Linked DNA regions of Macaca mulatta. The main gene of each other region encodes a partner of the protein of the gene in region 2 in a complex. Links are inferred from orthologs where the notes say so. Each region holds a gene or a part of one and is shown on either strand. Other genes may lie near its edges. The genes, in order: SH3BP5 and MAPK10.

The links.
Region 1: the proteins of MAPK10 (region 2) and SH3BP5 are in contact, whole or in part, in a crystal structure (PDB 4H3B), measured with the Homo sapiens proteins. The link is inferred for Macaca mulatta from reciprocal best matches to the Homo sapiens genes MAPK10 and SH3BP5. Residues at the interface, in NP_620448.1 of Homo sapiens: Lys121, Asp150, Ala151, Gln155, Val156, Met159, Leu161, Glu164, Arg165, Tyr168, Tyr171, Val197, Lys198, Ser199, Asp200, Cys201, Trp362, Asp364, Glu367; in NP_004835.2 of Homo sapiens: Val341, Val342, Arg343, Pro344, Gly345, Ser346, Leu347, Asp348, Leu349, Pro350.

The regions. Positions count from the first base shown.
Region 1 is NC_133407.1:33,146,427-33,162,877, forward strand, and holds the start of SH3BP5 (SH3 domain-binding protein 5), read left to right. Parts: upstream 1-8,622; 5' UTR 8,623-8,800; coding exon 8,801-8,938; intron 8,939-10,646; coding exon 10,647-10,709; intron 10,710-16,451. UniProt on the Homo sapiens protein: Functions as a guanine nucleotide exchange factor (GEF) with specificity for RAB11A and RAB25. Inhibits the auto- and transphosphorylation activity of BTK. Plays a negative regulatory role in BTK-related cytoplasmic signaling in B-cells.
Region 2 is NC_133410.1:95,406,690-95,422,690, forward strand, and holds part of MAPK10 (mitogen-activated protein kinase 10), read right to left. Parts: intron 15,621-16,001; coding exon 15,491-15,620; intron 11,504-15,490; coding exon 11,445-11,503; intron 10,306-11,444; coding exon 10,167-10,305; intron 9,480-10,166; coding exon 9,314-9,479; intron 6,835-9,313; coding exon 6,763-6,834; intron 1-6,762. UniProt on the Homo sapiens protein: Serine/threonine-protein kinase involved in various processes such as neuronal proliferation, differentiation, migration and programmed cell death.

The DNA.
Region 1 (16,451 bases), on a different chromosome or scaffold from region 2:
AGTGATTCTCCTGCCTCAGCCTCCTGAGTAGCTGGGATTACAGACATGCGCCACCACACCTGGCTAATTTTGTATTTTTAATAGAGACGAGATTTCTCCATGTTGGCCAGGCTGGTTTTGAACTCCCAACCTCAGGTGATCTGCCCGCCTCAGCCTCCCAAAGTGCTAGGATTACAGGCTTGAGCCACCACACCCGGCCTATTTTTTTTTTTTTTTTTTTTTTGAGACAGGGTTTCTCTCCTGTCACCCAGGCTGGAGTGCAGTGGTGCGATCTTGGCTTACTGCAACCTCTGCCTACCCACTTGAAGTGGGTTCAAGTGATTCTCCCACTTCAGCCTCCTGAGCAGCTGGGATTACAGGTGCCCGCCACCATGCCTGGCTAATTTTTGTATTTTTAGTAGAGATGGGGTTTCACCATTTTGGCCAGGTTGGTCTCAAACTCCTGACCTCAGGTGATCCCAAAGTGTCGGGATTCCAGGGTGTGAGCCACCATGCTGGCCTATGTTGCTTTTTTATGTATTTAACCATTGGTCTGTCTTCCCTTGGACTATAAGCTCCACTAGAGCCGAGGCTTTGTCTCCTTTGTTCACTGTCACATTTTCACTTGCCAGAGGCTGGCACATAATACATGGCCAATAAATACTTGTCAAATAAATAATATAATTTCTTATATTATATATAAGAAATAATATAATTGAAATTAATTTATTTGAAATTAATATAATTTCAAATAAATATAATTTCTTATATTTTTAAAATACAAGAAAAATTTCTTAACATTATTTTAAGTTTTATCTTCCAGAGTAAAGTCCTGATAAATACCTTTTTTCACCATTTAATAGGGAATTTTGGCTTCCTTTATAAGTGAATTTATTTAAGTGGCCTTTTCCTGGACTATTTATCTGGATCTATCTTGCTTCTTTCCTTCCTTAGATTTCTTAGACTAATAAACCATGGAATAAGGAAGTGAGGGCTGTGCTGACATGATTTGTTCTTGGTTAACCTGAGCTGGGTCATGGTGATGAGTCATTTTTCTTCTTGGGACACAGAAGTACCCTCTCCTCCTTAAAATCCATTCTAGAATAGTGTCTGCAAAATGTTATGCTCATTGGTTTGCAGAGTATAGAACTTTCTTTCTTCTGTTTCCCCCCCTTTTTTTAGCAAGGGCCATCACTTCAACAGGATCTTTCTTCTTCTTTTTTTTTTTTTTTTTTAATTTTTAATGGAACACTTCCCAAATTTGCATGTCATGGTTGTGCAGGGGCCATGCTAGTCTTCTCAGTATAATTCCAATTTTAGTATACGTGCTGCTGAAACAAGCACTCTTTCTTCTTTTTATTATTTATTTATTTATTTATTTATTTATTTATTTTTGAGATGGAATCTTGCTCTGCTGCCCAGGCTGGAGTGCAGTGTCGCCATCTTGGCTCATTGCAACCTCCGCCTCCTAGGTTCAAGCAATTCTCCTTTCTCAGCCTCCCTAGTAGCTGGGACTAGTTGCATGCCACGGTGCCCGGCTAATTTTTGTATTTTTAGTAGAGATGGTTTTACCATACTGGTCAGTCTGGTCTCAAACTCCTGACCTCAGGTGATCCACCTGCCTCAGCCTCCCAAAGTGCTGGGATTACAGGTGTGAGCCACCACACTCGGGCTCTCTTTTTAATGGAACACTTTCCATCTCCAGGATTCCAGCACCATCCTAAATATCTGTAGGTCCTCTAAGACTACAGATAGACACCGAAAATCTCTTCCCTGGGTTCTCTGTGTGCTGTGGCCTGTAATTCATCTGAGTCAAGAGACAAGTTTAATTCAATTTAGACACAAATAAAGGTTCTCATTAGAGGGAAGTGGCCACATTGGAAGACAATTTGGCAACACACTGATGTCACTGAATCACTGAATTAAACAGATGCCTCTTTAATGTGAAGGCTCTGCTCCCTTTCAAAGAACTGGCTTCTATAGACCCTTGAATTCTTAGAACCAATCATTTGGGGTCAAAAAATATTGTTGAAGGGTTTATGGTCTACCTTAAAATCCTCTTCCACCTTGCTGTATGCCATCATCCTTAGGGGTCGCTGGGAAGAGGAGAGTCGGCAGGAAGACCTACGGAGCCAGCATTCCGGCAACACCGTACCATGGGGGGCTCTGGGGAGAGGTCAGACATTTACCTGTGCGTGGCCTGCCATGTGTAAGTGGTCTGCCAATAGGATTCTGAGGTTTATTTGTGATTACATGCCATCCTAAAGGGGCCAGCCAGCCACTCCTCCCATCTCCTCCATACTCTTGCCAATCAGAGATGTCTGCATTTTCATGTTAGATCACTGTTTTCATGTTTAGTTTTTTTTTTTTTTTTTTTTCCAGGGGACCTTGCTAGTGCAGGGGATGGGGGTGGGGTGTGGTGGCTATGCGCCCATGCATGAGTCCCTCCCCACCCCACGCTGCTGCAAGCCTCCTTCATGTTAGTTTTAACTGCTGGCTCAAATTTATAAAGGCTATGTCAGCCAGGCAGCACATGCCCCAGGCCTGATCCCATCAGTCGCTTCCAGTTTGCAACCTCTGACCTAAGGTGCCACGTAAATATCACTGGTGGAGAAAGAGGGTATGCTGGTTGTCAGTTTCTTCTGACATTGACACCAGAGTGTGATGTGAATGCAGATTCATTCTTAGTCCAGACAGCAGTTTCTGTTCTAGGAGTTAACAGGTAGTTACAAAGCATTTTTACTTTACTTTACTTTATTTATTTAGAAACAGGGTCCCTATCTGTTGTCCAGGCTGGAATGCAGTAGTGCAGTCTTGGTTCACTTCAGCCTCAACCTCCTGGGTGCAAGCAATCCTCCCATCTCAGGCTCTGGAGTAGTTAGGACTACAGGTGCACACCACCACACCCCCTAACTAATTTTTGTATTTTTTTGCAGAGATGGGGTCTTGCTATGTTGTCCAGGCTGGTGTTGAACTCCAGCTTCAAGTGATCCTCCCACTTTGGCCTCCCAAAGTGCTGAGACTGCAGGTGTGAGCCAGCACACCTAGCTCACAAAGCATTAAAAAAAATGGTGTTGCAGGGAATCTTAATTTAAATGGCATTGAAGTTTGACAGAAAGAGTCTTAACTTCACAATGAGGGATTCATGTGGCTGCTGCTTTGGGGCACCTTTTTTTTTTTTTTTTTTTTTTTTTGAGATAGGGTTTCACTCTGTCACCCAGGCGACAGTACCATGGCACTTTCTTAGCTCACTTCTGCCTCGAGCTCCTGATCTCAAGTGATCCTCCTTCCTCACCCTCCTGGGTAGTTAGGACTATAGGCACGCACCACCACACTCCGCTGATTTTTAAACATTTTTTGGTAGAGGTGTGGGGAGGCTCTTACTATGTTGCTCAGGCTGGTCTTGAATTCCTGGCCTCAAGCCATCCTCCTCCCTTTGCCTCTCAAAGTGCTGGGATTACAGGTGTGAGACACTACACCGGGCCTGGGGCCCAGGTTTCATGAGGGCCTGTCTCCCCAAGTAAAAGACTAGGAATTTGTCATCTACATGTTTGGGACCCTCAAACTGGCCCTGGAAATAGTGCATGCATATAGTAGGGGCTGAAAAGTGTACTGAATTAATGTTGCTTTCTGCAGATCTAGATCTAAAAACAAAAAACAAAACAAAAATACAAATGAATTAATGTTGCTGACCACTTTCACTTGCAAACTTCACTTTAAAAACGTTAAATAAAAACTCTTGGCCGGGTGCGATGGCTCACGCCTGTAATCCCAGCACTTTGGGAGACTGAGGCAGGTGGATCAGGAGTTCAAGATCAGCCTAGCCAACATGGTGAAACTTCATCTCTACTAAAAATATAAAAATTAGCTGGGTGTGGTGGCAGGCACCTGTAATCCCAGCTACACAGGAGGCTGAGGCAGGAGAATGGCTTGAACCCAGGAGGCAGAGGTTGCAGTGAGCTGAGATCATGCCACTGCACTCCAGCCTGGGTGACATAGTGAGACTCTGTCCCCCGCAAAAAACAAACAAAACTAAAAAAACCCCAACTCTTTGGCTGAGCATGGTGGCTCACGCCTGTAATCCCAGCACTTTATCTTAGCTACTGAGTACAGGTGCAAAGTAGTAAGACCGTGGGATTGAACCAGGGTTGGGATTATGTCAAGTGCTTACCGTGGTCATGGAGAAGCGTGAGGGAGTTGTGGTTGGCTGCAGCTGTGGTGATTTTAATGATGGACAATGGAATCTAAGCTAGATCAAATGGGAAGTGTGGACATAAGAGGGTGAGGGACTATAAAAGAGTCTAGGGAGCCATGATGAAGCCCTGAATCAAGGGTTAGAAAGATGGAAATGATTTGGAGACTGTACTGTTGGAAAATCCACTCGTCCTTGCTGACTGGGTTCATTGGGACTCTCAAACCACAGGTGGGTCATCAGCACAGCCTTGCAATTATAATATATTCCCATGGTCAACTCAGTCACCAACTCTCCTGGCCAGCTCTTTCACAAAGCCTCTCTCCTCCAACCTCCAATGCCCTTTGCCCTCCATCCCCTCATTCTCAGCTGATGACGTGGCTCATTATTTTGCTGAAAAAACAGAAGCAATCAGAAAAGGCTGATCATCAGGCTAATGGATCTCCTTTGTCTCTTCTGACCCTAGCTCCTCAATGTCCACCGAGTCAATTTCTCATACACTAGCCAGAGTTATTATATGAGCACTCACTCAGAACAAAATCCAAATTCCTTACCATGACCTAAAGCATCTCCATGGTCTACCCACATGCCTGCCTCTGATTTCATCTCCCTCCCTGTCTCCCTGGCTGTGTCCGTCCTATCCACATGGATCTCCTTGCTTTTTTTGCCAACACCCAAGACATATTCCCACCTCAGGACCTTTGCACATGCTGCTTCAGTCTCTGGAGTGTTCTTTCCCCAAAAGTATATGTGGTATGCTTTCTCATTTCTTTCTCTTTTTTTTCTGAGACGGAGTTTCACTCTTATCACCCACGCTGGAGTGCAATGGTGCGATCTCAGCTCATTACAACCTCTGCCTCCTGGGTTCAGGTGATTCTCCTGCCTCAACCTCCAGAGTAGCAGGGATTACAGGCATGAGCCACCACACCTGACCAGTATGCATTATTTTAAATTTATCTTTAAATTCCACAAAACAATAATAAACATATCCTTTTTGTGAAAAATAAAAGCATTACTGAGAAACGAAGTTTCCTTTGATCCCCTGCCTCCATCCAAGCCAATCCTAGGCCACTCCCTGCTCCCTTTTTCCCAGAGGTAGCCACTCTTTACTGGGTATAAATCCTTCCAGGCCTTTTGCTATGCATTTATGTGCACTACATATGTGCCAATAGGGAATATATCCAGTTGTCCCTTGATTTCCCTGGGGATTAGTTTCTGGACCCCTGTAATGCTAAAATCTGAAATGCTTACATCCCCTGTAGAAAATGGCAGTCTTTACATGTAACCTACATACAACCTCCTGTATACTTTATTTATTTTTTCATTAAAAACATGGTTTTTTTGTTTGTTTGTTTTTTGTTTTATGAGATAGGGTCTCCCTCTGTCACCTGGGCTGGAGTGCAGTGGCATGATCAGGGGTCACTGCAGCTTTGACTTCCCGGGCTCAAGTGATCTACCTCAGCCTCCAGAGTAGCTGGAACTACAGGCATGTGCTACCATGCCTTGCTAATTTAAAACAATTTTTATTAGAGATGAGGTGTTTTTTTTTTTCTTTTCTTTTTTTTTTTTTTGAGAGAAAGTCTCACTCTGTCATCCAGGCTGGAGTGCAGTGGCACCATCTCAGTTCACTGCAACCTCTGCCTCTCAGGTTCAAGTGATTCTTCTGCCTCAGCCTCCCGAGTAGCTGGGATTACAGGCGTGCACCACCATACCCGGCTAAGTTTTGTATTTTTAGTAAGACGGGGTTTCACCGTGTTGCCCTGGCTGGTCTCAAACTCCTGCCTCGGCCTCCCAAAGTGCTAGGATTACAGATGTGAGCCACTACACCTGGCCTAGAGACGAGGTCTTGCTTTGTTGCCCAGGCTGGTCTCAAACGCCTGGCCTCAAGTGATCCTCCCTCCTGCCTTGGCCTCCCAAAGGACTGAGATTACAGGCATGAGCCACCACATCTGGCCCCTCCTGTATACTTTATTATTTATATATTTATTTATTTTGAGACAGGTCTTGCTGTCACCTAAGCTGGAGGGCAGTGGTGCAATCTCAGCTCACCGCAACCTCCGCCTCCTGGGCTTAAGCAATCTTCCCATCTCAGCCTCCCAAATAGCTGCAACTACAGGCATGAGCTACCACACTTGGCTGATTTTTTGTAGAGATGGTGTTTTACCATGTTGTCCAGGCTGGTCTTGAACTCCTGAGCTCAAGCAGCCCACCTGCCTCGGCTTCCCAAAGTGTTGAGATTACAGGCATGAACCACCATGAGCAGCCCCTCCTGTATACTTTAAATCATCTCCACATTTCTTACCTGCAATACCTAATACAATACAAATATGTACATAGTTCTCATATACTGTATTTTTTTTTTCTTTTCTAGAGAGAGAGCCAGTCTTGCTTTGTTGCCCAGGCTGGTCTGGAACTCCTGGCCTCAAGTGATCCTCCTGCCTCAGCCTCCCAAAATGCTAGGATTACAGGTGTAAGCCACCACTCCTGGCCATGTATTTTTAAATATGTATTTTTTTAATTGTTGTGTTTTTTTCCCCCAAATATTTTCTATCTGTGGTTAGTCGAATTTACACATGTAGAACCTGAGAGGCTGTGGAGGGTTGACTGTATATAGTACTGCCTGTGTTTTATTTGTTTTTCTTATTTTAGCTTTAGAAACACTATTGGGATTAACACTATAGCTGGTCCAGATCTCCAAAAAATAAGACAACAGAAGTCTGAACTGATGTTCTTGAGCAGTTGGCCTATGTCTCACAGATACATTTTGCTCTTGACCTAAGCTGAAGCAGGAATGTAATTTGGAGTTTGTCATTTGCGATGGAGAGGATGGGGTTCTGCTAGCTAAGAAGCATTTATCATAGTCAGGGCTGACCCCAGAGGCCTCTGTTTATTTCAAACTCTGTCTCTCAGTTTATTCAGAGCTAGGATGTACCTGCAAAGTTGGAGGCTCAATTCCAAGCCACCAGGGAAGATTGGTGGCTCCTGTGTTCCAAAGTGACCCCTATGGCTATCTTGTCCCTGGCTTCGTCTATCATTGGAAAACCAAAAGCAACTATGTCTTTAGCAAGGAACTTTGAAACACCTCTCACAGAATTGCTGACTCATCCTTGATTTAAAGAGCAATGAGCAGGTCTGACCTTTTTAGAAACAAACCATGGCACTACCTCCAGAAAATAGGACAATTTTCCTTTGACAGTGGACTATAGTGCCAGCGTGTATGGGGTGGTGCCTTTCCCTAGGAGTAACCCTCTAGCCTACTTTTTGATAAAACCACCAGAAGCAGGACTATTTATTTATTTGAGAAGGTGTCTGGCTGTATTGCCCAGGCTGGTCTTGAACTCCTGTCCTCAAGTGATCCTTGTATCCTGGCATCTCAAAGAGCTGGGATTACAGATATGAGCTACCATGTCGTGCCAGACACAGGTTTTGTAAGGTGGTTTTGATGATAGGTTCTCAGAAAGAAGCTCCATTCTCAAGCAAATTTGTCCACCAAACTCAGAGCAGATGGGCTACAGGCCTCCGTGTAGAACATGTGCACGTTCTGCATTTCTCAAAGGAAGGAGATGTGAGCAGCTATGTGCTCACCTGCTTTGCCAAGGTCATCCTTTGGGTTCCCCTGACATCACAGTGGCCCTGACATTTCATAAAAGCACACACATGCCTCTTCAGTTTGGTCTTTTCGGATGCTGTGTCTGCCAGGCCAACTCTGTCTCCCTACTTGTTGATGGTGGGCAGGAAGTCTCACTAATTCATAAATTCTTGGCCAGAGTGTGCCCATCAACAGGGGTTACACTTGCCACCTCCTTAAAAAGGCTGTGTCTGCCCACAGGCATCCCAGCTCAATGCATTCTCCATGCTTCCTGGCTATTCAGGTAGGACCGCCGCACCTCTGTGTTTGGTACGGGGCTCGCCCAGAGAGGCCGCAGCCTTCGGCGATGCATCCGTGCACGGAGCTGCAGCTGGCTCTCCTCTCTACACTCCTGTGTCTATATAAGCGCACATTTTAGTTTGCTTTTCTGGGGAAATCTTTGAGTAGGTGCCATTCCCAAGGTTCGCTCAAGGGGAGGAATGTGCCTTTGGGTACAGGGTTTCGGCAAGTCTTGGTCCTGAGGTCCAGGGTCACTAAGCCCAGGCTTCGGAAGGCGACTTCAGCGTGAAAACACCCCACGCCTCCTACCACACACAACGCGCTTCGGAGGAGGGCGGGAGAAGGGGACTCCCGAAAGCGGGAGGCTTGCGTTACGCAGTTGAGATATATCCGGGCTGCTAAGTTACAAGGGGGTGGGGGCTCTCCTAATTTGCCACCTTGGAGATGTGGAGGGAGCTGGGGTTTTGTGACGGAGACCTGGGTAGCTGGGACTGGCCGAGGAGCGCGCGGCCGGGGCGGGACGGGGGCGGAGCGGGCGCTGCGCTGACTGCCGCGGCAGAAAGGGGGCGGCCGCGCCCATTTCCTCTGCTCCGCCGCGGCCAGAGGGATCCGCATCGGCGAGCTGTGCCTCCCGGGTGTCGGCCCCGGCGGCTCCCTGATCGTGCCCGGCTGTGGCGAGGCGGCTCCAGCCCAGCCTGTGGCGGCCGCTACCTCCAGGGCGCTCCGGAGCCCACTGCGCGGCGCGCGTGGCGACTGCCCGCATGGACGCGGCACTGAAGCGGAGCCGCTCGGAGGAGCCAGCCGAGCTCCTGCCGCCTGCACGGGACGAGGAGGAGGAGGAGGAAAAGGGGATGGAGCAGGGGCTGGAGGAGGAAGAAGAGGTGGATCCCCGAATCCAGGTAGGGCGCGCGGGGTCACCCCGCATCCGGGCTTCGCGAGGGCTGCTGCGGAGGTCGGCGTCTACGCGTACATCCACTTCGCAGCCCCCAGTGACTGTGGTCTGGGGACTGGCGGCCACATACGGTGGCAGGAGACGATCTGTATGCTCTGTTTCATCGTCTCCACAATGAGGAGGCTACAGTGCCCGCGTGGATGCGGCCTGACTCTATTGCGGGGAGCCCCCCGCAGACCCCTAGCAGGATCGGGGTCGCCGCAGAGTGCCTGGTGGTTCGGGCGGATGTGCAACAAAGGGAAAAAGGGGGCGGGGGCGCCATGGTATCCTCGGGGGTACCCCCCGCCCGGCCACCACGGCACCGCGGGCAAGGCATGGCCTCCAGGCTCTGCGAGGAGGGGTCGCCCGCGTGGGCGCCGGGCACCGTAGGCGGGTGGGCGTTGCCCGCCCCTGCAGCGCGGGCTGGCACTGGTGCCCCGGGTGCAGAGTCCTCACCTGCCAAGGTGCCCGGCCTGAGCCGTTTTCCTTCTCTGATTCATTGTTAGAGAACTGAGCGTCTTACTGTCACCACCGGCTCAACGTTCCGCCTGGCCTGAAATTGCTTAAAACCCTGCTTTTCCTTGTTGTGAGGCTGGGCATGAACAGAAATCAGGGACAACTGATGCGCAAAGCTGACGCGTGGAGGCGGCGAGGGGATTGGGCTGGCTGACTGTGCCTCCATTTCCAAGAGAGATGATTAAAAAACAATTTCCAAGCCGAGATCTAGGAGTGACAGTTTAACCTCTTCACCCCGAAGCAAAAAGCAGAGCAGATCCCTTTCTAAGACCCGTTTTATTCTACCTTTTCAGTAAATCATTTTTAAAAAATTGCTTTTAAGCATGCTCTGTAATTTCTGGATCCCTAATTGGTTTTTTAGTGCACAGATCAATTTAAAAGCTCACTTAACTCAGTGGTTAGGGTTTAAATGAATTGTTTTGTCAGGTTAGCAAGATAAAGATCAGGTGGAAAAAAAAAACCTTGCATTAGGAATGCTATTAATTAAAATAATTGGTTTGGAATAAATCGTGTGTTATTGGTATGGGATTATGTTAGCAAGATCCTTTGTTTGCATAGTAAAGATGAGTTAAGTTCATGTTGGATGCTTTTTACAAAATGTCAGTTTGTAAATGTTTATTGAAATGAATGGGATTAAAGCTAGTTTAAAACATCCAGCTAAGTAGGTTGAATAATTGGCAGTGTGAAAAGATTTTCACCCTTTACAGAAAAATAATTCTGGTGAGTTAATACCAGAATTCTGCCCTTGATGATTTCACTGGGTTTATATTTTTGGCCTGGCCTTGCTTATTGTCTTTTATTGTTTTCTAAGCAAAGTTCTTGCTCAAGGCAGATGGTGCTGTTTTGATGAGGCCATTAAACCATTTGTAACAGGTGGGATTTACCTGAAGGCACATACCTGGAATATTTGACCTCTGACAAATTCCAAATGTCTCTGAAGACATTGTCAAAAAGGATACCCTCAAGAAAATGGTTTCAGAAATGCTGACATTCATTTGCTTTTCTAGCTAAGCCTCAACTGTTTGCCTTAAGAATTAATACCAATTCTTCCCTTTTCCTGCAAACTGGGCTGGGATAATTTTTCAGGTTATGGACTGAGTTATATTGGAAACAAAAGACGGATCCCGTAAGTCTTTTTCTCTCCCTCTTTTCTTCACCAGGGAGAACTGGAGAAGTTAAATCAGTCCACGGATGATATCAACAGACGGGAGACTGAACTCGAGGTACAGAGAGCTGAGTTCCTGTTCTTGGTGAAGTGATGTCACTCACACCGGCACAAGGCTGGTTAATTTTGTCTTCATAGCTGGAGGGTTATTGCTGGACCCCCCTCCTTGGGAGTTGAGCAACAGCTCCCTGACAGAATAAAATACACCACTGAGCTCAACCTGTGGGCGGAACGCATGTGGATCCAATTTCACATGTTGTTTTTCATTATGGAAGCTCCATGGGGCCTAAATCAAGTCTGTGCAGAGCGTTACACAACGCCTAAGCCCCAAGTTTTCATGTGACTGAAAGGATAGAGAGGAAAATTAGCTGAACTCTTTAATGAAGAATAATGAATGAGCTCACAAAATCTCTTACATGTTCAGGGCGGTTCCTGCCATTTGTCCTGGAAAGGTTGTGTTGTTTCCTCTGACTTCGACCATTTCTTGACTTTCCTGTCCTAATAACTCACCCCCACCTTCTGCTTTCCTGCTCATTTCTTTATTGTCTGCTTGTGCATAGAATATAATTATAATGGTAACAAAAAGCTGTTTAGACTGGAAAGGCCTTTCCTACTGGGAAAAATCTTGGAAGACTAAAACTTGATTTAGGTTTCATGTGCATTTTCCAACCGGAGTGTAAACAAGTTAGCATTCATCACAGCCTCTGATTAGTTTCCACCCCTTTCCAGTAGTGGTTGCTTTTACCACCCATCAGCAAATTTGAACAACCACTGTATGTATTCAGGAGACTGAATTGACTGTCAGAGCCTGGAAGGGACTCTCAGCGCAGCTTCCCAGTGCAGGGAGCTGTTGGCAAAGTCTGTTTCTGTAGCAGGAGAAATAGCAAAAGTCAGTGGAAGGGACAAGAAGCACATGGTCCCTAAGAGTGAGGGTGTGGGAGACAGGAATATAATCTGCCAGGATTCACAGGCAGCCTTGATTTCTGCTGCATGCGTAGGCCCTGGAGTTACCAAATCTGGATGTAGCAATGTGGATTAAAAAGTCTGTTGCTCTGAGCTGTGTGAAGGGTTATCGCTCACCACCTCCATTTCCATCGTAGGTGTACAAGAACACGGGCTGTCCTTCTCCCTAAGTGAAGTAAAATCTAGTTTATTTACATTTCTTTCACTTATGAATTGAGTCTGTCTGTGATGTGCGGTAACCGAAACCTCTTAGGATCTCAGATTTCTAATGCATTAAACAACAAAACCCTTACCATTCCTATAGGGCTTTAGCATTTACAGACTGTTTTTTACACGTTTTATCTCATTCCATCCTGTCACACCAGCCTAGAGCTATGCTGTCCCATATGGTAGCCATGTGCAACGTATGGCTATTTGAATTTAATTAATTTTTTTTTTTTTTCGACACAGAGTCTAACTCTGTCGCCCAGGTTGGGGTGCAGTGGTGCGATGTCTGCTCTCTGCAACCTCCACCTCCTGGGCTCAAGTGATTCTCATTCCTCAGCTTCCTGAGTAGTTGGGATAACAGGTGTGTACCACCATGCCTGGCTAATGAGTTTAATTAAAATTAAGTAAGACAAAATTCTGTTCCTCAATCATAATAGCCACGTTTCAAGAGCCCAGTTGCCACTATATTAAACAGTCTAGTTGCCACTGTATTAAACTACTATCATCATAGAATGTTCTGGCCTGGAGAACCAGGAGGGGAGGGACTATTTGCTTTCCAGATAAGGACTCAGAGGCTTAGCATTTTGTGATGATGCCTCAGAGGCAGGGCTCCCATCTTATAGTCACAGGCATTTTCCAGATCTCCTCCAGTTCCTGCATTCTATTATCCCAGTGCAGTGGTGCAATCACAGCTCACTGCAACCTCAAACTCCTGGGTTCAGGCAATCCTCCTGCATCATCCTCCCTGGTAGCTGAGACTACAGGTGCATGCCACTATACCCGGCTAATTTTTCATATTTTTAAACTTTTTTGTAAAGATGGGATCTTGCTCTGTTGACCAGGCTGTTCTTGAACTCCAGGCCTCAAAGTGATCCTCCCACCTTGACCTCCCAAAGTGCTGGGATCACAGGCATGAGTTGCCATACCCATCCTGGAAATATTCTTCTTCCTACCCTCCCCCACTCTCCCCACCCCCCACACCAAGGCATTGATTGATTCTAATTGCTCGCCTACTATGTGCTGGCCACTGTTCTGGGTAATGAACAAGATGGCCCACATCTCAGCCCCTAGGGTGCTTACCTTCTTGGGGTGAGATTGGTTAATCTGTTAAATTCTTTTTAGCCTGACTTTTGAATCCTATTTCTGAATACACTTAGGTATTTGTGTGTCACAGGAAGCCACCGGACAGGTGTTTCCTGCTTGACTCTGGAGAGCATTTGGAGCCGTGTGAGAGGCCAACTGGAGGGTGTGAGGGGGGGTGGCCGGGGCTGGGCTGGGTTGCTGGCTGGCTTTTTCACGGTATTATAACCAAGACTGACTCATAGAAATATAATACGGGCTACATAAGCAATGAAAAACTCCCTAGTAGACACATTAAAAATGAAAAATAAACAGCTGAAATGAATTTAAGTAGTTTGTGTAACCCGGAATATCCAAGACAGTACAATTTCAACATGGACTTGCTATTAAACAATTACTGATATTTTACATATATTTTTATAGTAAGTCTTTAAGATCTTTGGCATATTTTACACTTAGGGCACATTTCACTTGAGACTAGACATGTTTCAAGTGTTAGTAGCTACATGTGGCACTGGGAGGCACAGGTTTAATAGGTGTTTCTGTCACAAAGGAGCCAGGTGGGATTTCACCCTTCACGATGGGCACCAGCTGCTTGTCAGATACTGTTGACCACTGCATTTATGTGGGTGAACGAGACAAAGACCTTGCCCTCCAGGAGTTTACGTTTTTGGTTGGAGTGAGGAGCAGAGAGGGGGTAATAATTACTGGTGGTAATAGCTACAGTAAGAAATGTGACAGACACTGGAGGGGCGCTGCGGGAGGACATCTGAGCAGATGCCTGCAGGAGAGCCCCTGCAGAGGAACAGGTAGAGTGAGCCACTGGGGTGGTCAAGGGGAGTATGCCCAAGGATAGGGGGCAGGAAAATGAGCCATTTTAATATACAGTCGAGTCTTTTGTTTTTTTCCCGCGACGGAGTCTCACTCTGTCACCCAGGCTGGAGTGCAGTGGCGCGATCTCGGCTCACTGCAACCTCTGCCTCCCGGGTTCAAGCGATTCTCTTGCCTCAGCCTCCTGAGTAGTAGCTGGGATTACAGGCGCCCGCCACCATGCCCAGCTAATTTTTGTATTTTTAGTAGAGACAGGGTTTCACCATGTTGGCCAGGCTGGTCTTGAACTGGCTGATCTTGAACTCCTGACCTCATGTCGTCATCACCGCCCCCCACCCCCGCCCCCGCTGCCCCGCCCCACCCATCTCAGCCTCCCAAAGTGCTGGGATTACAGGTGTGAGCCACCGTGCCCCGTCTTGTTTTTGCAGTACTTGTATTCCATAAAGTTGTGAACACTGAATTAGTGAATACGGAACCACTGTTGTAGGGAAAATGCAGGGCTCGGAGCAGGCCTGTGGTCACATCATTTTCATCAACTGATCAATATTAATCTTTTCAGTTTCCATTAAAAGACACTTTATTTACTATATACTATTGATTCATTAGCATTGAACTCAGGGCCGCTTACCTAACATGTATTTTCCCTGTAAGCCATATCACAGCCTGCTTATGCTCAGGAGTGCTCACAGACAGCACTTCGGCACTCCCCTTCTGGGCCATTTTTAACAGCAAAATCACCAAAGACAGCACAGAAGTGTGAAAGACATGGCACTAAGTAGACCATGAAAAGGACACTTGTTTACAGGCTGGGCACTGAAAGGAGGAGGTGGAGTGTCGCTCCTGCGCGTGTCGGTGAGTGAACCTGAAAGGGCTGCGTGTATTGATTTTGGGGTTACGTAACAATTTTAGTGAGTAGATGAATTCACAAGTATGGAATTGGCAAATAATGAAATAGTCTACTTTCAGGGACCCCAGGGGAAGGTATTTTGCTGTCCCCATTTCCTTTCCCTTTGCCTTTTGATTGCGATCTGGGGCATTCAGCACCTCTCATGGTTTTTGTCTGATGAAGCTGAATTGGTGACCAGGCTTGTGGTCGCTGCGAATGTGCTCACACACTGTGCCGCAGTTGTCCGTGGGTAGCTGTAGACCAGGGTGTTGCTCCTGAGGTCCACATTTAACACCCCATTTCTTGTCTTGGCTGTTTAAATTCCAGATTGCAAAGGGGCCTCTGGCAGCCGCCTGCCGTGTCACTTGGATGTCTGTCTCCTCCTGCAACCTGGGTTTGCCTCTGACCTTATTTTGAACAGTGTTGGGTCTCCTTTGCACTCTGATTTATATCAGCGAAAGCCAACCTTTTTAAGCTGTTAAAGGAGGAACCTTTTAACCAGAGAGGCCTTGGATATAAGCCTGATGTTTTAAGTTAGGAAAATAAACATTTTCCCACAGATCCAGTGATCCGTCAGCTTTATTTATTTATTAATGAGACAGGGTCTTGTTCTGTCACTCAGGCTGGAGTGCAGTGGCACAGCCTCGGCTCACTGCAGACTCTGCCTCCCGGGTTCAAGTGATTCTCTAGCTTCAGCCTCCCAAGTAGCTGGGACCAAAGGCGCACACCACCACGCCTGGCTAATTTTTGCATTTTTAGTAGAGATGGGTTTTGCAATGTTGGCCGGGCAGGTTTCAAACTCCTGAGCTGAAAGCAATCTGCCTCCCTTGGCCTTCCAAAATGCTGGGATTACAGGCGTGAACCACTGCGCCTGACCGGCTTTTTAATTCACTAAGTATTTATTGAGCACCTACTATGTGATGGGGCAGTTTTCGGTGATGGGGACAGAGCAGTGAAGAGACTGGACTGAAGTCCCTGCTCTTCCGAGGCTTACATTGCAGAGGGGGTGGAAAATGCAATAAAGAGTTAAAGTATGCACAGTAGGTTATCTGATGTATGCGAAGGAGGCAAAGAGCTGGAAGGGGACTCAGCTGGTGGGTGTTTGGAGGCAAGGGGAGGGAGAGGAATGCGGTATTATCTAGAGAGAGTGAGCAAGCCTCAGGCCATGTGGGGGAAGAACATTCCAGCTGGAGGGCGCATCTGTGCTAAGATGGGAGTGGGCCTGGCCTAGCTGAGGACCAGCAAGGGGGCCTTGTGCCAGGCTTGGGTGAGTAATGGATGGAAGAGGAGGTGATGAGTCAGAGATAAATGGGTCATTCAGGTGTGTGACAGCCCTGCCAGGTGAGGTAATAAAACTCAATATGCTGATGTAATTTTAAAATGCCTAGTATATAGGTCTCTTTTCAAATGTTTGTTAAAACAGATGCCACACTGAGAATTTCTAAGTCTAATCAGAATAAAGATTTGTAATATTTCATGCCCATATATATGTGGTTTTAAGCACAACATGTAGTGTTTTCATCATTTCCCGTGCTTGCTCTGAAAGTGGGCTGTTCCAGGACTGTGAAGGGGTCCTTTCTTTTCCTCGTTGGTCAGGTCAGGTGGGAATAGTTTCTGCTTATACTGGCAGGGTGGTTTGAAAAATCTTTGTTTCTGAGTGTCTGTGTTCCTCAAACTCGCTTAAGCCAGCACTCATTATCTCTGCCTTTCCTCCCTCCAAAAACCAGCAAATGCTTTCTCTTAAAAACAAAACCTAAAACTTTTTTTTTTTGGACCCAAGGAGCAATGGTAGAACCAAAATCTCTGTTTTGAGCTTAGAAACTTGGAGGTGAG
Region 2 (16,001 bases):
CTTGGCTCACTGCAACCTCTGCCTCCTGGGTTCAAGCGATTCTCCTGTCTCAGCCTCCTGAGTAACTGTGATTACAGGCACATGCTGCCATGCCCAGTTAATTTTTGTATTTTTAGTAGAGACAGGTTTTCACCATGTTAGCCAGGATGGTCTCGATCTCCTGACCTTGTGATCCACCCACCTCAGCCTCCCAAAGTACTGGGATTACAGGCATGAGCCACCGCACCCGGCCCAGTTGTTGATTTAATAACTGGTATTAATAACTGGTATGTCTCACAGTTCTCTTTTTGGTGTGGGGGATTTGGGAGATATTCCAATGTAAAAGAAGAACATTTATTTAAAATATATCTTCATGGGCAGAACTCAAAATAGATTTAATAGATCACAAAACTTTTGCATAAAAATAATGCAGAGATATAGGCTCTAGATCTGAGATTCTGAAGTACATATTGAATTTCATTTTCTTTATTTTAATATATCTTTCTGAGTGATAATATCCTGGAAATCTTTCTAATTCCCATTTTAACTTTACTCACCATTCACTATACCTAGAGAATATTTGTATCTATGTTACCAAAGTGCTAAGCCTTGTGCCTAGAAATGATAAGCTCTGTTATCTTGAATTACAAAGATTGAATATATGCACATAAATTTATATAGATTTTTATGTACTCAAGACAGGATTATGGCTCAAGATAAACTCACTGTACCAAACTTCATGCATTTGCCATCCCCACTAACAGAAAATATATAATAAAAGAATTTGACACCAACTCTTATTGAACAGGAAGATGGTAGTGGTAAGTCTTCCCTCTACTAATATCTCTATATTAGGATGCATAAACATACTAATACAATATGTATTTGAATATATTAGTGATATATATATATTGCTAATCAAGTTAATAATAGATTATTTTATGAAATTGTCAGATATTACAATGAATAGGGACTGTGCATAGACCTTAGATGTAATTAGCAAATTCAATCACTGTTGGAAACTGGATTTTTATGCTTTCTGAGACAATACGATACAGCATTTGGATCTCTATAAGAGTTCTGTACACTAATGCTGCCAAGGTAGAATTCTGGTGGCTTTTAAAATTCTGATTCATTACATTCTTCCATCATCATTCTATCATTCCCATAGGCAGAAGGCAGATTCACTTGCAATTGTAACACTCAGATACTGAGTCACTTTCCTTAGAAGAAATGTTGAGTAAGTTTTGGTGTTACCAAAATATGGTTAATTTTCAGAGTGAAGACCTCTGAACATCTCATGTCATATTATTTGTCAGAAATTAGCTTATACTAAATTATTTTTTTCCTACTTCTAACCAAGAGACAGAAATGATATAATGTAAGCCCTGGAAGTTAAATCTAAATAAATAAAGAACTATATTGCTACTTCTATACTCCGTCTAATAGCTTAGATCATGATCCACGATTAAATAATTTTTGGACTATGTGAGCTTCTATCCTGGAAAATGTTTCCTCTCTAGGGGATTATGTAATTCTTCTGTCACAATTTCTGAGACTTCTCCTTAACACACCTAAGTATATTTTCATTTAGTGTAGAATTTAGACAAATTTTCTTTCAATGAATGACTCCACACACAATAGCATGAAGAATTAATATCGTTTTCTAAAATCAGAACATTTCTTTGAAAATTATTTGTTATAATTTTATAAAAATTGTAAGTTACAAAGTTATCAGTTATAAAGTTAGAGCATTTCTTTTAAAATTAGTTAACTAAGTCTTAAATTTAGTTATTTAACAAAAGGACCTTGTATTAAACTTCAGTTCAAAGATAGAATTCTAAAAGACTACTGACATACATAAACATAAATAAGCAACAATTCACAAAACTTAACGCTAAATATTGTAATGCCAAGAAATCAGAAAAAGACTTTCTCCTTGATTCTACCTATTAAACTTGCTTTTATTTCTTTACAACCTCGGAATCTCCAGCTTCCATTCTGGTGAATCCTGTCTTGAATTTTCATAAAATAATAATAAAAGAGAAAAGCAGCAGGCACACTAGTGGTCAAAATGTATTCTTTTAAACAAATTCAAATAAATAATAATTTTATTTTTAAATATATGTTTATAATTATGTGCAATTTGTTTAGAGATGTGAAAGAATGCCTACTAAATTTTTTCATCCTAACTTTATTTAAAGCCATAAATTTTATATTGTTTGAAATAACCCTGTATTGTCTTAATTCTAAGAAACAGAGTTAGACTGTATAGTAAGTTGTTAGTTGCAAAAGTTTATTAGCAATTAAGCACTATCATTTCAAAGAGGTAAGAAGAATTTAAAAGTATCTCTGTGCTAGATGGATATAACAATCTGTAACCACAAATTTGTTCATTTTACTTTGATCCTTCCTAATGTTCATATTCAAACTTTAAAAAGATATAGCATTCAGTTAATTTGAGGATGTTTTTCTTATTTCTTCAAATATATTTTTGGAAAACCATTTACCTGTTCCTTAATAACTTGGATCCCTGGCAAGGTTATGTGTATATCTCTTTCATTCTAATTGCAATTTCTTGTTCTTCAGAGGGAAAGGCAAGAGGAGCTATTTTAGCAGTTCAGCTGTTAGCTTTGGATATAATATACTTGAGGTCTAGAATTTTCAAATGTGTGCAGCGTGCCTGTCTTTAATTTTATATCCAGAGAATATTGGCCAAGAACTTAGATAAAGGAACATCACAGGGTTTGCTCAAAGAAGGTGCTACCATTTGAAGTAGAATGGAAAAAATAAGGTTGAAGAATGTATCTAAAAGAAGCAGGTTTGAGGAAAGGACTCAAGAAAATTCTACTGGGACAATAGGAGTCTTTGATAATCAACAAGATGGCATGCCCTGGTTGGGGTTTGGGATGGTAGAGGCAGTCAATGACTGGATAGTTCTTAGAAAAAACTTCTAAGGAAGCATTGTAAAACTGCTTTCCTGTAAATTTTATTGAAAGGAACAAAATCTGAGTGAAGCTAAAGTCATTGATTTCTTTTATCTGTTCTTTGGACTACATAAAAAAATTGACTTGGCATATTTACTACTCTCTAACTTGAAAGTCAGCATGGGTTTAAGTATGTTTAAAGAATGTTTAGTAAGACATTTAAATATGAATGTGCATTATAATGTTGTTCAAATAAACTACACTGTAAAAATATATGCTATGAAATGTTTTAATCATAAAACTATAGTGAAAATTAAGTATATGATAGTGTATGTATAACTAAGAAATACTTTACACAAGAAAAATAAGTATTAAGAAGTGATCCTCTGGATATTAAAATAATTAGCAAACTAATAGGTAGAAAAGCAAATATGTATTGTTTATTTTGTTCAATTTTATTTTGCCAACACTCTAATTTAGTAACCAAGACAATTCCCTGTGATATCATCTAGATCATATCAACCACCAAGAAACCCCCACAATGTTTCTCAAAATGCAAAGATAGTTTGAATGTGGGAAAGTAGTTAAACTTCAGTCATCAATGACAATTTCATGAGATTCTCTGATTCATCAAGACATTTTAACTATTTTTGCTTAGGGTTCAAGTTTAAAAGTTCTGTGAAGAGAGAAGAAAAATGTTGATTATTATGATAGCATTATCACATCATTTTTCAGCCTCAAAGTAATTTAATATAAATTACTCTGAATAATTCCAGGTGAAAGACATGTGAACCTCTGATTGCTTTTTGAAATTTCTGCAGAATCTTGGAAGAGATCAAGGTATCAATTAGCATATACTTAGCTTTGCTATTTCTTCTAATAAATGTTAGAGTAATTTCAACATGCTTAAAATTGTGTAATTCTTCTGCCGATAAATAACTTGAATCAGCCCTCAGCCTTGTGTCTGATAGTCACAGTTTGAGAGGTTATCTGACTGCTCAGTTGTTGCTAGGAAGCCCTGTGCATAAAATGATAATAATTTCACTTAAAGATTAATAAAACAATTCCACTCAAAATTGACAAAGCACATTATTTAACTGAAATTTCTATAGGTTTATTTTTTTAAATATAACCATAACTTTAAACATTAAGTTATAATTTTAATTATAGGTAAAAGGGGCTAAGAAATCCAAATGGAAACATTTTCAAAAAGGAAACATTTTTTTCTAACCTATTTCATTGGAAAATACCTACTGATTTTTCAGTAAAATTTAACTTAAGCAAAAGGCTTTCCATTGTAGATGTCTTTATGCAATTTTTTTTAACTTCTAGGTCCACTTGCAGGGTCATTATCACATATGGCACTAGGCTATTAAAGACTGCTGTACTATGTAATCATCATCTTGAGATAAAGAAATACAGACATTATATAATGAATGAAAACCTTTATTATAATCTACATTATTTGTATTAGAGATTATTTTAATGTCTAGGTTCATACATATCAAGGATATAAATGTTATGTATTAATTTTCACACAAATAATTTCAGCTCCAAAAATTTTTCTAAAACAAACTAGGATAAAAAGCGGGGGTGGGGGGCGGCTTCCAAGAGAAAAATTTTTAAAAGAAAATAGAATTATCAATATGGTGCTATTTTTTGTTTGTTTTTCTGAAGGGTTAGATTGAGTTTAAAACTTTTTACTTTTTTTCTTTTTTATTGGCTTTTAAATTTAATACTGTCAAAATAGAAGAAAAGCAATCCTCATAAACGCCTGAAGAGCTAAATAAGATCTCAAAGGACAACCTCGCTATGTGAAATCAAGTGACATGTAACAAAATGTCACATGAAAATGAGAAATCCTGGCTTTTTGCTTTCCACTGACAAGTACATTAAAGAGATATGGCCGTGCAATTCACTCTGAGTATTGATTGAGAGGTTCCTTCTTTGTCTAAAATGTATTATATACCAAAGACAAAAGCATGAAGAGAGTAATTCCTACTTTTGAATAAAGTCAGCACATTTAAATATGAATGTGCATTATAATTTGTTCAAATAAACTATACTAGGCATATAATTAATCCCCAAACTATAGATAAGTAATTTAAAATGAAATAAATTTTCCTAAGTAGCCATATAAAATCTAATGGTGAAAATAATACTTCACACTAAATATAGGAAAGGAACATGGAGCAAACAGAGATTCAAGACCTTGAGATTCGTTATAAATAAATGGTTGCCATGCAGTTTTCTTATCTTCTAGACCAGCACTGTCTAATAGAAAAATGACAGTCACAAATGCCAATCACATATGTAGTTTTAAGTTTAATGTCCACATTCAAAAGAATAAAAACCAGGTGAGTTTAATTTTAACAACATATATCTTTAATCCAATATATTCAAAATGCCATCACCTCAACATAATCTATGTAAGATTATTAATAATATATTTTACATGCTTTTAAAAATATCTTCAAAATCTGGTATGCATTTTACATATAAAACATATTTTAATTTAGACTAGTTATAATTTCAAGTGCTGAATAACCGCATGTGGCTAGTGGCTACCAACTAGACAGTGCAGTTCTAGAATATGTCATTACTCTTATATTACTAGTGGAATTTCGAGACTATCTCATTAATATCCAGCAGAATGAATAAATGTCTACCTAAATACAAGCTTATTATGGTACCCACTTCTTGTTGAGTCATTTTTTTGTTTGTGTTTGGTTTTCGCTTTTGGACTTTTTAAATACCTAAATAAAAAAATCATAACATTTCTTACATAATAAAAGGATTCCTTAATAAAATTTTCTTATCAATCCAATAGAATAGTTAATAGAGTTATGGGTCACACGGTTATTGCCAATTTCCAAAACATCCATATGTAATAAATACACTAAATTCAATCCTGTATTGTAGTTGTTAAAGTTGTCAATTGTGGTTGTACTTAGATTTGCACTAGTATATGTAGTAAGGTATTTTTGTATTTTTAAAAATATATTCTACTATTATATGTAAACTTTATTGTCTATATATTACAAACACAAATCTGTACCTTTACTAGAGAGTTAACTTATGGCCATTTAAGAAATGTATCAGTCCATTTGATAATCCCAAATCATAGATAGCTCTACAGGAAAATTTCTGATGGACTCTATTGCAGGACTCAGTAGTAGAACTTAAATCAAAATTGCTTTATGAAATTATAAATTTAATTGGGAAAACAAGTATGTATGTCTATGTCACATCTCCAAGTCAGGTGAGGGAAGTCTACATTAAACTCACCTGACCACCAGCAACTTGAACAATAATTACAATTTTTAAATGCAGAAGTTCATGTTTTGAGGAGGATATGATATATTGACCTGTTAAAGACTTGATTTAGTGTCAAGAGTAGTTTAAATCAATGAAGCCATAGACAGAAGCTTAGAATGTCAGCAAGGAGAGCAACTTTTATGCCTAAATATTGTAGAAGCACAAAATAGTTTTAGAAAGGAGATGGAAAATGACTCGCAAATAGTGACTTATTTTTCTAGTTATAAAGGTAAATATATTTTAATCATTTGGGATCTGGTGGCCTCTGTTATTAAAGGAAAATAGCATTACTATTTTTAGTTGCAGGCAAGAAAGTAATTTTAGAAGAAAAAAGCCTATTGAAGTTTAATGAAAAGAAATCATTGTGGTAGGTAGTCTTCAGTACTGGTCAGATTATAGAAATCATCACTTTTTTATTACAATAACACCACTTACCCAACTTTTTGCTTCTATCTTTACTCTCCTGGTAAAATCATTATGTGTTTAAAAGGGAGAGAGAACAAAACAGGTAAAGCTGTAGCAAAAGGTACAAGGATACAGTCCCTTCCTGGAAAGAGGATTTTGTGGCGAACCATTTCTCCCATAATGCATCCCACAGACCATATATCCACTAGAACAGGAGAGAGAGGGTAGTGAAGAAAAGGGAGGAAAGTAAAGTTAACTAAGATAATTGACTTCTGAAGGAGGAGGAAAAAGAACAGTTTGATTAAAAGTACAATTTTCACCTCCCACCAAAAGTTGGCCAAAAGGTGAATTAAAACCAACACTACGCTATTACATAAACGGTGTCTAGTATTAGAACTCAAATTAATGTTTAAAAAACCATTACTTTGTGGATTCTGGACATTGCCTCTCAGTAGTGCCACAAAGTGGTGACATTGGTAACAGAGAAAAGCAATAGCTAAACCAAAAGTATCTCCATGGCAGGTGACAGCTAAAAGCCACCAAAGGGTTTTCTGTGTCATTTTCTGGATGCAGAGAAAACGATATTAACTTGTAGAGGTGGCTATTTTCACTTTCTCTTCTATTCAGTTACAGAGAATAGGGCAACAAGAGGCCACCTTTTTTTCAGGGGGCCAGGGGCAGGGACAAAACAAGATAAATTCAACCAAATCCAAGAAACCAGGAAATAACTGGAACCATGGTTTAGAGGCAAAAGAATTGCAATTCCTGGTATTTGGGACTTAGCTTTTCCTTCAGAAGTTTATTCTTGTAAATAAACATCAGTTTTAGTTTCCATTCGAAATATTTCAAGAAAAAGGACATATGATGAATTAGCACATGTATAAAGGAGTCATCTGGAAGGAAAGTGAAAAAAGTATTAAATGTGTTAAAAATTGTTACATACATATATTTATTTCCAAATTGTCAAACTTGTTAGGAAAACATGCTTTGCCTTCTCTTACCAATCTTTATCCCTTTCCAACTTGTTTTTTATTGTGGACAAAGGGAACTTTTGGGCAGAATCATTTGGCTGAATTGTTCCGTGGGGAAGGAAGGCGGGGCTAGGTGCAGGGGACAGCAGGGCATGCCTGATGTGGGAGCAAGCAGGTTTTCTGCATGATAACCTTCCACCCGTTGGTGGGGAGGGCAGCACCAGGGTGCCAGGCAGGCCTCCTCCATGGACTTAGAGAAGTCGAAAACCTAAGGCAGCGACTTGCAATTCTTTCTAGTGAGGAAAGGGAAAGGGATTTTAATATCAGCTATTTGCAGTGCCAAGATCTGAAAAGCCCGAATAGGCAAATTCAGATCCTCTCCCCCACCCCAGTCTCCTGTACATTCTTGATTCTTGACTTTGTTTCTCCTTTGACTTTTTAAAAATAAGTTGTGAAGAAAGTATAAAAATGTCCTCTTTTCTGAATGAATTAGATGTGGTATTGCCTAGTGAGGAGGACTAGATTCATCTCTTCTGAGTCAAAAGGTGCCAGAACTCTGACATTGCCCACCAGGGTGAAGCTGACCTTCGTAAGAGGTGACTTTTCAACTTCCTCTGTATAAATGCATACATATATTATCTGTCTTCTAATCTAAGAGTATACAAAGAAGTTTCTGCAAACTTCAGTGGCCAGGGAATTTTCACAAAAGTACCCTGTAGCACCTGAACATAAAAATACCCTGATTATTTTTATAGAGCTTATTAAAATAGACTGCTAAAACTAAATAGAATAGAATAGAAAATAAATATTTAAGATACATTGAATACATCTACAATCCTAATTTAAAACTATTTTAATTCCTAAGTATGTTGAATATGTTTTTCAATATGGTGCATTATTTGTAAGATATAGTCTCATCAAAATAATACATTGCAGTGCTTTCTAATAGATATTTAATAAATCCTTAGTTTTAATCAACAACACTCAATTGTAATACATTTTTAAGATTCCTTCCACAGCCTTCATTTCATTTTAAAGTGTTCATGAATATTAGATTTTCTTTAGGAAAGCAGTAGTGTCAAATTTGACATTTTCCTTTTTTATGATTTTTGGAATATATAAGAATTTATTAGGCAATTGCTACTCTAAATATTTCTTACAGAGCAACTTAAATTATTACAGAAATTCTTATTCAATTTAAATAATTTGGATTATTTCAAAGTTGTCTGTGAAGATTTTCACTCCCAGGATTTGTGTCACATTTTTGCTTGTCTTTTTCTAGAAATACAGCCATCAGTCTGAGATACGACATAAAAGCCAAATGGCTAAATGCGGTAGATTCCTTCCTGCTTTCACACTCATGCTCAGCTGAGCTGCAACCCAAATAGCAATTTTTCTCAATATCTAGGCACGTGTGCTAATCAGCATCCACTTGACTGTTTAATCAGACTCCATTTACAATTCTTTTTCACTATTAACATTTAGTGCTCTTCTAGCAAAGCTGACTTGTCAATAACATCCTTCACATTTTTAATGAGTGTTTCTTACCAGTAGTATTAAAAAAAAAAAAAAAAAAAAAACACCCTGAATATGCTATCTGGCAGCCCTACCTTATAAAAGCATGTACATGAAAGAGAACATTCCCCTTGGCTATCTACAACATGCACCCATTTTATTCACGGTTTTGATGCTGCTCTCCAGAAGCATCCCTACCGTTCTCCTTGTAGCCCATCCCCAGGATGACCTCCGGGGCTCTGTAATAACGTGTCACCACATATGGAGTCATCATGAAGCTTGTGCCTGCTGTCCTGGCCAGTCCAAAGTCCAGGATTTTCAATGTGCAATCAGACTTGACTACAATGTTACTTGGTTTTAAATCCTAACAATAAGGATAAGGGAAAAAATTAAAAGCCAGTATCAAGTGAAACATGTTATTTCCATTGACTCAATCAACATAGCAATCTTGCAGTAGCACTGATGAGGTCCCCCTGACCTACAGAGCCCTAAACAAGGCAAACGATTACTGCTACAAATAAGTTAACTGTTAGTTTTTGGATTAAAAAAAATCTTCAGAAGGTTTTTTAATCCCAGAAAAAAATTGTATTATCATTTTCACAATTTACACTGATCTTGGGATGAGGTTTTAGAAAAAAAAAATGTATCATTGATTGTCTTCTGTTACATTTCTCCTTAGGACAACATAAATCTTTCAACATATATATCATTTCTAGGCCTGACAGAAGAACAGATCAGGGCAGCTGTCTTTATGCTGCCAGAAACAAACTATGGATTTCAGTTGCACATATGACTTCTGCCAATCAAGGAGCTGAAAGCATGAGGCTTCTAAGAAGCTGCATCTCAATGAGCCAAAAACATAACATTGAACAAACTCAACTACTAGAATTTCCTTCTACAATTAGTGAACTAGGTGCCAATTCCAATATCAAAGAAATGAGGAAGTATATTATATTTGACCAATGCCCCCTGTATAAAGAAAATAATCTACAGTTACTCTTCCTCTTCTCTTAAAGCATTTGAATTGTAATCCTAGAGAAGGTGTTCTTACCCTGTGAATAATTCCAGCAGAGTGGAGGTGCTTAATGCCACACAGCATTTGGTACAGCAGGTAAGACATTCGCTCGTGGTCTAATTCCATCTGAATCACTTGACATAAGTTGGCATCCATCAGTTCCATTACTAAGTAACTAGAAGGGTAAATCCACAATGTTAGTTCCAGGTCACGAGATCTATGAAGTCCTTTCAGTTAGTCAGAATTCTCTCCTAACTCTGTAAGTCTTCTGAACTTCTTAGCTCTGCCTTTGACTGAATCAAGACTAAGAATTTCCAGGTATTGCATGTGTGTTAGCTATACAAACCCTACCACAAGGTTGCTAGTAGAAAAAGTATTTATTAGTGTGTGGTTTGTGTCCATAGAGTTTTTAACCTTAATTTTGCCTTCACTTTCCCCTGTATACCCTCAACTCTTTTGTGAGTATTATAATTTTAAATAAGAAAAAAATTCAGAACAGCTTCTTCCTAAATTCAATGTATCTGTGTTAAGGACAAGGTACTAGGGAATCACTTCCTCTCCTCCATCTGTTGTCATTACTGGGTAGACGTTGCACAAAATCAATGACACTACAAAGATCGAAAGAATAAAGATAATTTTCATGTCCCTTTTATTACTATTTCTTTTTATTTGTTTGTTTGTTTTGAGATGGAGTCTCGCTCCGTCGCCCAGGCTGGAGTACAGTGGTGCGATCTCGGCTCACTGCAACCTCCGTCTCCCAGGTTCAAGCAATTCTCCTGCCTCAGCCTCCTAAGTAGCTGGGTCTACAGGTGCACACCACCACACCTGGCTAATTTTTGTATTTTCAGTAGAGGCGGGGGTTTCACCATGCTGGCCAGGATGGTCTCGATCTCCTGACCTCGTGATCCATCTGCCTTGGCCTCCCAAAGTGCTGGGATTATAGGCGTGAGCCAGCATGCCTAGCCTTATTACTATTTCTTCAGGTAAATTAACTCATTGTAGAAAGTTCATGGAATCTATTAATAATCATAAATAAATAAGCCTTTCCTGAGTGACCAAGAGTATGGAACAACAGAGCATATAAAGCCACAAGGTCAAAAGGAGGCAGAATGTCTTTCCACACACAAACAGAATCTTCTTGACCTATCACTGGACCCCTTTCATTTGACCCCACCTCTTACCTCTCTTTGATCAGTACAAGGGATTTCAACTCTGTGTGTGTGTGTGTGTGTGTGTGTGTGTGTGTGTGTGTGTTATTCCCTTGGGCTATCTAAGTGCTGTGCTCTCCCTTCCTTTATGAGTTTTGTTACTTACACATCTTGGAACTCCTCCAGCGTTTTCTGGGGTGTGAAGACATTTAATAAACTAATAATCTGAAAGAGAGCGGAAGGGACAGAGGAAAAGAGAGAAAGAAAAAAGAGAGAGAATGTATTATTTTTAAATTTTATTTCAACTCAAAGTCACTCACTAATGCTATGGTGGAAATGGAGAAATTGGAAAAATTTCTAGAGCTGTCTCACAGGACACAGAAAAGTATACTCAGAAAGAACAGATGATCTGTCTTCAGGTTAATAATGCAGCTAAAAAGCTCAATTCTTGGGCAGAAGAAAGAATCAGAGAGATGCATAATTGTTCCACTGCTTTCAAGTGTGATTCCTCGTGGCAGAATATGGGCCTTTGGGGGATTAAACAAAAAAGGAAGAAATGTGGCGTGAGAAGAGAGGTGGCAGTAAAACACTGTGCGAAACATAGCAAGGGGATACTTCTCCTCCAGATGAACAAAGTCGTATTCTACTTCATGACTTTTTTGTGTTGTTACTTTATATTTTTTTACTTCTACCTCACCCTCAAATATTAAACTAATGCTCCAATAATATGTGTGGGGAAAGGTGCATTCTAGATGGTATCAATGATGAATTTAGTAGAAAATTATTTAGAAGTTTTCTGCATTCAGTTAGAAGCTTTTTGTTTCCTGCTTTATTTTATATATTAGCTAGTAAAGAAATCTACCTTCTAGCATAAGCAAATTTTGTAAAAACCCCTTGTCACATTTCCAAATAGAGTTCATAGATCAATAACTCAAAATGTTCTTCCAGCTAAATATTTGGTACTAACGTGCCAGCAGGAAATGAATATAAAAATATACAGATACAAATCTTATACTCACAAGATAGTTGCAACTATTTTATAAAAAATAGATAAGTACAAGGTCAAGATTTAAGCAGCTTCAAAGCATCAATCAATGAATTTCAGTAAACTCTATAAATGATATAAAGACATATGGAGTAATAAACATAAAATGAAATTAAACACCTGAGAAATTGACTCAATTCTATGGAATGTTTTATGTCTCATGTAGTTTTAACTTATTGAGAAATTGTTGACAAAAAATAATCATAGTACCATCCAATATTTTCTAGTATACATATATATGGCAATGGTTGTCATATAGTTTTTTAAAAAATCATCTTTTCTAAAGCAACCTTTCAGTGTGAAATATTCATATAGAAATAAAATTGTTTTAAAATTATCTTTAAAACTTGTGATTAAAGTGCCATGTTATTCTGTATACTCAGTGCTAGTGAGTGTTGAAAACTGCCTATGAAGTACATCTTTCACTGTAACATCTACAGTGGGTCTGTTTCTCTAGGACTTTATCAATCTCATAAAGTAATTTATTTCATTTTGATATTTGTTCAAACAAAAACATTAGCGATTGTGTATAGAGCACACATTCCCCCCCACAAACATTCACATGAACACTCCTTAACAATGGATAAATGCTAACCCAGATCAACTAGTGAACAAATAATCCAGATAATCTAAGAAATCTAGAAAATAGCATTACAATTTTAAATAAATCAAGTTTTATTGTTTTAAAAGATAATTTATCAAGATCTATTCCCTACTGTATGTTCTTATTTTCCCTTTTCCTATGACCTTGTTTTATCACTTTTCACCCTTCGAGAAGTTCTCCTCTAGCCTTCCTTTGCTGTCTTATAAATTCTAATTCCTAGCAAGAGCCAATTTTAAAAATGCCTCTGTAGAAGGAGATTATCACAGCTATAAAGTTTCCATTTTAATTCAACAGTTTCCAGAGAGGAATCTCAGTTCTTTTATCCCAGCATCTTCAGACACACGGATGTAAATCCGTGTTTGTCAGGCCCCACTAGTTCCTAGAATTGAATATTTATATTCTTTTTTTTAAATAACAATTTTAATCTAATTTTCAGTTGATAATAAATACAGAAAACAGGCGACCAAACTAACACCATAAAGAAGTATTTTCTAAATAGATTTTCTTCGTATTATTAAAGATTTAATGAGATTACTTTACTCTTCCTTTTCTTTCCACACTATTAACAGAGTTCTTATTAATGTGGAATTTACATTTGGTTGTAGTGGATTTCCTCTTCATAAAAAGTTCCAGAAATGTGTTTCCGCAGACTTCTGCATACATACATACACACATAAAAGGAAGGTAGCAGGTGGGGTGCTATTTATAAATTATCACTGCAATCTGGAACTCTTTTTTAGGCTTCATAAATATAAGTCTCCAAAATTTCAGTCAAGAACGGGAAGTATTATTCTCTCAAACTGACCAAGCAAGTGGGCATTTCTCCACATTGTATTGCATTACAGGGTCTGGCATGAGGATGAGGGAAATATAAATACATGTATGGAAAACTTTCCATACATTTGATTCATTGCTTATATCCATCCATTTTCCATTGCCAATGTTATGCTCCATCCTCCTTGGCATAACAGAATACATTGCATTGATCATGTGGCTAACCTTGCACTTACCTTTATTTAACATACTGAAAGAACAAATTAGTATATAACTCTTCATAGGAACCATCCTTTCTATCATTTCTATATTCCTTTCTAGAAGTCTCATGTTTGTTGCATGGCTATATTAGATATGGGTGTGCAGTTCATAAAATTTTAATTTCTTGGTAAGGCCTTTGCTGCTTGGCCTATTTAAATGGGTAACCCTATCCCACCACACACTGACCAGTATTTTTAAATCTTCCTTGTTTGCTTTGCCTTACTTAATAGCACTTATCATCACCTGACATTTTACACATTGACCTGTCTTATTGTGGATCGCCTTGCTCTTGCCAATAAAGCATGAGCTTCACCTGGGCAGGGATTTGTCTGTTTTCTTCACCATCTAGATCTGTGCCTGGCACATTTTATTCATTCAACACATATACGTCAAGTGACTGAATTAAAAAGTCATCAGGGTAGAGGAATAGAGGAAAAGAGAAATACTGTCATGGGGCTCAGATCTGCATATTTGCATTTCAAGTATCTTTCAACTTAATACTAATACATTTGTGTCTTCTCAGTGCTACTTGTAGATGGCGAGCATTATGGACAAGATACCTGGTTTATAAAACCACGCTGGTAATGTGTTCTGTGTAATTTTCATACATAAGAACTTTGTAGAGATAACTCTACAAAGGTATTCTACAACCTTAGAATGATTTTACTTGTAAAAAAATTATTTTTTTATTTTTAAGAAAATAAAATTTTATTTATAATTTATTATGTATTTATATGTAAAATATATTCAATGTATTTATTATAATTTATTTATTAATAAAAGTTTTCATTAAAATAATGAATTCTCTCCTATTTATCTTTACTAGGAACAAGTGGAGCACAGAATGAATTCTAGAGGTCTTGGCCTGTGATTGAAGGAGCTTAGATTCTGAAGTAAAGAAAGTCCTTTAATGGTCTACCCAGCTGAGTTCTGATGAGAAAAAGCTCTTGATCCCATTCTCAAGTGCTTTGCAAATATGTACCTGCATACTTGCCCATCCCTGAAAAAAATAAGATGCCAACACACAGTGGATTCACTGAACAATTAGAGGCCACCACCAGACTACAGCTGAAACTAAAAGGAGATAACATGAATAAAACTCAACTGTTAACAATTAAATCTAACTTATAAATCGAAATTAAACCTAAATTATAAAGAAATATAGCATGGTGCTTTGTAGGGTTTTTTTTTTTTTTTTCCTGGCTTTTGGCTTTGCTTGTCTTGTTTCTTTTTTGGAAAGCATGAAGCTCTCAATTTGGAGCAAGATAACCAAATATGGTAAATTTTCTAACTAGGGAAATATTTATAAAATTCAGCACTTCCACATCATATGGTTTTTAGGTGATTTTTAAGCAGAAAGCTACCACGAGGACAATGAAATTGAATGCAGCATATTGGCAGGATAAACAACCTTAAGAGGCAGGAATTGCAAAGTAAAGAAAGCCTTTCTTACTCAAGTACAGACACATTTTCTTTTTCCAATCTCACAAACTCCCACCGCCAGAATTTTCAAAATAACAAAACTCACGTTTTTATGGTTCACACACTTCATGAGGACCAGCTCCCGGTACGCTCTCTTGGCATGGGTTTGGTTCTGAAAGGGTCTGCTGAGCTTCTTAATGGCCACATTTCTGTCAAGGACAGCATCATACGCGGCACTGTAGAGATCCAAGAGCAACTCAGAATTAAGAGCAAAAGATTCCTTAGAACTCTTGCCTACTTGACTAAGGACACAGGTAAAGAAAATGCTATTTTGGAATCTTACTCAGATTTTGTATACTCTGGTCACATGCCAATCAGGCTGTAAGTAAAGATATAAGTGACTTGTATAAGAATATTCTACATGCTAGAAGGATGAAGAAGAGTTGAAGGAAGTGAAGGAGAAGGGAGAAACAGGAGAAGGGGAGAAGGAGAAGAGGGCAAAGGAGAAGAAAAAGATCTTGCCAAGAATATAGAATATAATTGCCTCAGTAAGTTGGTGGAATAAGAAGTAAGACAGACATTCAAATTTCCCACTAGTCATGAGACTATAGCAAGTC